2 linked regions of the Oryzias latipes genome follow. The protein of the gene in region 2 purifies or fractionates together with the protein of the main gene of each other region. This does not show direct contact. Links are inferred from orthologs where the notes say so. Each region holds a gene or a part of one and is shown on either strand. Other genes may lie near its edges.

Region 1 (4,256 bases), on a different chromosome or scaffold from region 2:
AGCCAGGGTTGGATTAGAATGCACCAGTCTCTGCAAATCAACAGCAGCACAAGCACAACTCGTTGACCTTTTTAAATGTCCGTCAAGCAGCGAAGCGTTGTCATAGACACGCCCACAGTTGATCACAGGACACGTCTGTCTTGTCAAGCTGTTCTTTGGGAAGGAAGAGGAGGGGGGTCTTCTACCTGAACCAGCACTGATCAGCCCGGGTTTAACACCTGAAGGAACAGACACATCTTTCAGAAACCATGAATCTGTCATCTACAAGACTGATTTATCTTTAAATTTAATTTACACTAAAGAAAGACAAAAACATAGATGTCACCTGGCATTTTCAGCCACATTTCCACGCAGCGCCTTGCGTCTTGATTAACTCGGTTGGCAGAACTCACAGCCAGCTCCTGCTGTCCGTGAGCTTTTTGTAAAATCTGCTTCTCCTAAAAGAAGAAAAAACAAAGACCTTCAGGAAATGAAGCCCATGGTAATTTCAACACTTTGATATTGAAATGACTAAACCTGTTCATTCTAAAAAGTCTGGTTTCACACCACCAGGGGGCTCTGTTGCAAACATAACCAGATTCACTGTTTCTAGGTGAACTAATGTGTAGAAAAATTACAAACAGAAATGTGTTTTGCTGTTGACCAAATTTTGCTTTCAAGAAATTAAGCTTAAATAAACAAGAAAGAGAAAAGATAATAACGTTCAATACCTTGAATGCTCTACATTTCTTTGCTCTCTCCTTTTTCTCCAAAGCCACCTGGTGAGCCAGTCTGTCCAGCGTAGATGTGACGTGCGCTTTGTGCTGGCTAATTTTGTCCTCAGTCTATCAATGAAAGAAAAGAAAAAAAGAGGATTTTGTAAAAGAATGAAGATCCTTGTGAAAGATACTTCTTTTATGAAGCAGACAATATGTTTAATCACAAACCAAGACTGGCAGTGATGAACATCCCTCTTCATCACTATCGCTCAACAGATCAATGCAATCTAATACTGGTCTAAGAGGCCCCTCCTGAAGGACATAAAAAGCAATGCATCAGACTGTATTCAAACATCATAGTCCAGATTATGATTAGTTTGAATTCTGAGCATGGATAAAGCATTAAAGTACTATTGAGATCCAACCTTTGCAACCTAAAGCCAGGAGGTAACGGAACTTCATACTTTAGTATTAAAATAAAAGGTTTTTATTAGCATACAGAGACATCTTTCTATCATTGATATCTCAAATGGGTAAAAATTTGTTGCTGCATCATACAGTTTATGATCAATTTAGTCGAAATGCATTGAAATGTAGTGCGATGTATCATTATCAGGGCCATCACACTCCAAATTCCAAGTAGCCAATAAGTTTTTTCCATTTCTGCAAACATTTATTTATTTATTTATTTTACTTTTAAATTTAGTCGCTTGAATTGGAAACACAAATAATTAAAACTTTATTGTTATTGTCTGTTATGTAAACTAGAAATGTGTGTAAATGTCACTTACTGAGACAAACTCCACTTCTTCCACCTCATCTTCCTGTGCTTGATTTGGAGAAGCCATTGTTTCTGGGGGAAAAAAGAAAAACATGATGCACCTGGAATCTGCAGCTAACTTTAAACATGCATATTCAATATAAATGCTAAGTTTGAATGACGCAGCAAACATTAAATTGCAGCCCACAAGTTTAAAGAGAAGCGATATATTTGTCTCCATGAAGCCATACAATGTTTTAATAAAGGCTATCATTTAGAAAGGTATTGCAGTACACATTTAAACCAGTGGTGGCATTATTGGGTTAAGAGCTGCCTCATGGAAGACAGAAGAAGAACGAAAGCGCCAAAATGTTGCATTCAAGGACTGGATTTCCCATGTGTAAAATTAATTTTCAGACACTGTTTGTCGACTGTATCGTTGCAATTTTGCACGAAAATTACGTAAAGGTTAAATTATCATTAGGCCAGTCAACCTAGCTCAAGGTTCCGTCGAAGATTAAACACAGGCTGAATAATAAGTTTATTAGAAACTTTAAAAAACACAAAACAGCAAGCTAATAGCCCGCCATGCATGTCGATCACCACTAAGCTAACATTGGTTTAGCTGTCAGATGTTTGTTTCACTTCAGTTGAGTGGTATGCAATCGACACACCAGAAACTACGACAAGTGAAAGCTTAAATAAAAAATAAAACAATTTAATCACTTTTCTTTTTTTTTTTACCAACTCCTCTTCTTGCTGACTTCTCTTGCCGTCGTTGGGTCAAGCTTTCTTCAACGTCCCAAATGTTAGTGAATGCAGCAGCTAGTCTGGTCTACTACGTCACGGGAGAAGACGCGCTTGTTTTGTACGTGCTTTGGCCAGACGGGCGGGGTTCCTTTACATTTTCCGACTGAAACGAATATCAGAGCACCCCACCCCCCGTGTCCTAGCTTTTACGGACGGAATGATTAACGCATGATCTATTTATGACCCCGTTGTTGGAGTTAATGTTCATTAAACGGTAAAATAAATGAGATAGTTGTTCTTTCTTCGAGTTTTTGGAATTGATTGGTACGTTTTGCAAGCATTGTATTTATTTTTAATTTTTCTATAGTATTGTTGAACAATTTGAATGATTTTCACAAATCTGACTATTTTTTGTCCCCATTTCTTACTTGAAATATAAAAATGATTTCCTTTTATAAAAACAATAAAGACATCTTTTTTAAATAAATAAAAATCACATCTCCCACTAAGCACATTAGTGAGGTGGGGGCTGTAAAACCATTAGTAATTGCAGATCTAGACGCACCTCCTGCAGCCATTTCTTTCCTATTGCAGGGAAGAGAGACCGGGCAGCAGATTACTGCGATGCAGGCTGGGATAAATCTGCTGACTCTCCTTTGCCCTCGGTGAAATAAATAAATAAATAAGGGAACGTGCGTCTGTGCTGAGTCATGCATTGTACCTCACAATAGTGCTATCAGTGGTCTGGGTTGTCCTTTTTGACTCTGGACGCTCCACGTCTTTGGCTGTGTGATGCTTCAAGTGTGTCAGCGAGCCTCTTCATCCTCATCTGGAGCTCTAAGTGGTGCAGCAGAGGATCTGTTCCATATCTACACCCTATGATGATCGCTGCGGCGTTTTTGGTGCTGCTCAGGCCGTACAGTATCCAGTATGTGCTGCTCTTGCTGCTGCTTTTAATTGGGACTATTGCGACTATTTTGTTTTTCTGCTGCTGGCATCGGAGGCTTCGCGATGGGAAGCATCCAATAAAATCGGTTCTTTCCGGCGGGCGCTCCAGGAGTCGCGGTGAGTCGTGGCGCAGGCCAGCCGCTTCTCCTGCGTTTCCCTCTGATTTAAATTGACTGACAGCCCATTTAAATGCTATTTGACATCTGCAGCTTGAGGCTGCCAAATGAATAAATCATGATTGTGTTTGAAGACACGATATTTCATGGTTCAAAATGTCATTATGTTTAATCCCAGTTTAACATATGCTGTCTCTCCTATAGTTGGTCTGAGAACGCATCATTTTCGATCAGAGGTAGGGGGAACTTATTGTCATTGCTTTCAGGTGTCATTATTGCCATGTTTTGATTCCTTTTAACCCTTAACTATTCTTGACTTTAACTTAAGAATGCATTTCTATTTTTGGGTACTGTGTGTGCGCAGTGCGCATATGTTATTAAAAAGTAATGTAGGGGATTTAGCTTTTTTCCCCAAGATAGTTTTAGCCATAAAATTGTAAGAAAAACCCTTTAGATTTATTGTTAAGTATTTCTGCTCATCACAGTGATTGTCGTTTCGATCACTGCTGACATTATTTTAGCTGTTTCCGTTTGACGCAACTCGATTTCAAAATAAAACACGGAACATTTAAAATATCCAGTCTGTGTAAGACCATGCCAAAAGCATGAACAATTCACTATACTAGTAACTAAAATAAACTATAAAGCATGATAGAGCCCTGTGACAGGTCTTTTAGGGAGGTTTTATATTTTAATCTAAAACCTTTAAATAAACGTCATCAATTATTTACTGAAAGAGTCCTGTAGTTGAGATGGCTTGCCGGTTCTTTTATGTCACTTGAATGAGAAAGAGGATGCTCTGAAATGATTTTAGTTGTTGTCGTTTACCATGATTTAAATTAGCTGACTCTGTTTTGTTACCCATAATATTCAAACTTTGACTTTGCAATGCTGCAGTGACAGAGATTTAAAATTTTATTGGTGAACTTTGTAATAAGACTGTGAAGACTTTGTACTTTATATCTTTCTGCAAACAACCCTAAA
Region 2 (2,835 bases):
CCATTGAAAATGGCAGTTTCAAGTCCTAAAGCGGTTTCACCTTTGGTGGGACGGTTCACATGCTCCCTCGGGGCAACGGGGGATTCCTCATCTGATCCTGCTTCAGATTCCTCATCCGACCACGGATTCTTCTTTGGCTTCTTAGAGACGGTCGAGAACTGAAGAGTGGTTTGCTTCCCTTTGCTGGAAAGAGCTGGAAGAAAAAACGTCTCTTCAAACTTCCTAATAAATCGCCAGTTACACATGAAAATGTTAGTCGACATGATTTTTTGTTAAAACGCATCAAGAAAACCCATTCACTCTGTTCATTAGTAGTTGAGGTGGCCTCCATCCATTCATTCAATCCCTGCAAAGATTTCAAACCTCGTTTTTAAACGTTCAAGACTTTTGATCAGGTTGGAAGTTGTTTTAACTTCTCTTTGCTCTGCATGTCTATAAGCTTTTCTCAAAGCTTCTTTTGTTTCATTTAGATCTAGGATCTATAATCAAGAAAGTTATTATTAAGATGACTAAATGCTTTGTCTTCATAATCTTGACATAAACTTGATTTGAGACTCAAAGAACTTCAAATTGCACTGATTCAGTGTGAAGGATGTTATTTTAAAGGTTAATATAGTTGGACTGGCATTCATTGTCATGATTTTAGAAATCAAAATGTAGATTTATGTTGTAAAAATAAGTGATGGTTTTGGATTTTATGAGATTATCAAGAAATACCAACTTTGTATTCTTTTTTTTGTTGACATTTTGTTCTAAAATGAGTCATTTCCGCTAAATTTTGCATCCAAAGAATCAAGATTTCATGACTTTTTCCAAAACTTTAGAGAAGATGTCGCTTCTTAGAAACTTTTCAGGTTTTCTTGACCGTATGAACCCTGTATCTAAAAATTAGCTTCTTTTTTCATTTTTGAACACTCATCTCTAGATTGCGTTACCCTTTATGAATATTAAATAGGATTTTCTTATTTTTAGCCTACCGTACCTCTTTTTGCAGTGGAAAAATAAAAATAATCTGAGTAATGATTCCTTTGTCTGACAAACAAGCAGAAAAGCTATTTAGTCCTGGCAAATACTTTTTTGTGCTTATCTAAATGTGAGCGTAGGATTATAGCGGTCAGGAAAGTTTTTGGGCACACGGTGACAATTCCAAATGTTCTCCTGAACATCTGTGCCAAGTAGAACTTTTCCAATAGATCTAAAATGTTATTTTATTAAAAATATTTGTTATTTTATTTTCAGGGAGTGAAATAGGTTTTTAAAGCAGATTTTGTCATCGACTCAAAAAAGCGCTTTCATAAAAATATTGCACAATGAATAAAAAACAAACTTTACTCAAAAAATCTGATTTTGGTTTATAATGGCGGCTCAGCTGCCGAAAACTGGCGCCAACTTTCCACCAGGGCGTTTATGGGGTTCAGCGTTTTGTCAGGGGACGCTTCGACACATGGCAAAACAGGAATCGAACCTGCAATATTCCGGTCAGGGGTCGACCGCCCTACCACGGCCACCCCTACTTCATGCAAGTTCATACTGTCATGGTGCTTTTAGTGCTTGTAAAATTAGTTTGCTGATTATAGTAATATGCATTCTCTGCAAATGGACAGCATGATTTCTTTTTCTTTTTTGGAGTTGCCATCAGCTTAAAAAACATGTTTACATTTCATTTGAACATTTGGCAGAACAGAAAGAAAGTCACGGTTTAATCGGAACTCGCTTGGTTCTTATTCTGTGCAGTCCTGAACCTGTGCAGCTCGCAGATCCCGTTCGCTCAGATTTTTCCTTTTGTCACCAAAACCCTCATCTCACCTGCAACATTTTACAAAAATGCAGGTCACCGGGGGGAACAACACCTTTTCCCAGTAATATAAATCATCCATTCATGAAGGCTGACTAGGAAAAGTGGCAGTATTTATATGAAATCATAAGGAACATGAAGTCATAGAATTCAATAATGGCTAAACTGAACTAAACAGACTATGCTAAAGTGGGCATCCCTGCCCTTTGACCCTCCTTCTGGGTAAGGAAAAACTGATTCTGCAAAAAAAAGTAAAAAAAATAAAAAGGCGTAACATCAGGGATGTCCACATGAAGGAGTGATCCTCCGTGTGCCAACAGTGGCATGCATGCCCCATGTTATTGAGTTTAATCACATTTCTGTGGTGAAAGTGCTTCCTCATAACTGTGTGACTCAGGCCACTAAGTTCCAGTTACATCACAAAACCACAATGTTTGTCTAACACAGGTTACAGGTATCAGATATTGGAGCGGGGATAAGGGGGCCGGAGGCACCAACTGGCAGCCACGCCTCTGTCAGTCTGCCCCCGGGCAGCTGTGGCTACATCAGTAGTTACCATCAAGAATAAATGAGGAGTGAATGAATAATGGGCACATTGTCAGCGCTTTGAGAATCTAGAAAAGCGCAGATACATCCCATTATTAAAATAGATATTGTTAAAGGAAAAAAACTTTTGTTTCAGTTGTATTTTCCAGATAAAAGTTATAAATTTCAAAATATTTGCTTCGAAATTATATATAGAGAGCGTCTTACTACATGAGAATGAGAATAAGAGAAAAATGATGCTGTTTTGGTTTAAGTTTCCTGCTTTTTAATCAACCTTTTCTGACCAAAACAACTGTTTTTTTTTAAATACCTCTTTTAGTCTGGGTTTTGGTTTTCTTGCCCAGTCGTGCAGCCAGACCAGTTTCCTCGATCTGCTCCAGGTTCTCACATTCTTCGCCAAACTCCATCTTCACCACAACATCTTCACTCTGCATCGACAGAAGAGGAGAAACTGAAGTTTGGACTGCATTTCCCATCATTCTAAGCTATGTTAG

Evidence for each region.
Region 1: the proteins of top2a (region 2) and znf451 purify together in Homo sapiens (affinity purification with mass spectrometry; 3 studies listed by BioGRID and IntAct, with this or other methods). This does not show direct contact. The link is inferred for Oryzias latipes from reciprocal best matches to the Homo sapiens genes TOP2A and ZNF451.

The regions. Positions count from the first base shown.
Region 1 is NC_019873.2:24,421,889-24,426,144, reverse strand, and holds the start of znf451 (E3 SUMO-protein ligase ZNF451), read right to left. Parts: upstream 2,877-4,256; 5' UTR 2,787-2,876; coding exon 2,774-2,786; intron 2,310-2,773; exon of another isoform or gene 2,185-2,309; intron 1,552-2,184; coding exon 1,490-1,551; intron 1,011-1,489; coding exon 927-1,010; intron 825-926; coding exon 711-824; intron 438-710; coding exon 326-437; intron 219-325; coding exon 68-218; intron 1-67. Other genes in the region: dst (dystonin), read left to right, coding at 3,087-3,273, 3,477-3,508. UniProt on the Homo sapiens protein: E3 SUMO-protein ligase; has a preference for SUMO2 and SUMO3 and facilitates UBE2I/UBC9-mediated sumoylation of target proteins. Plays a role in protein SUMO2 modification in response to stress caused by DNA damage and by proteasome inhibitors (in vitro).
Region 2 is NC_019877.2:4,658,038-4,660,872, forward strand, and holds part of top2a (DNA topoisomerase 2-alpha), read right to left. Parts: intron 2,770-2,835; coding exon 2,652-2,769; intron 194-2,651; coding exon 41-193; intron 1-40. UniProt on the Homo sapiens protein: Key decatenating enzyme that alters DNA topology by binding to two double-stranded DNA molecules, generating a double-stranded break in one of the strands, passing the intact strand through the broken strand, and religating the broken strand.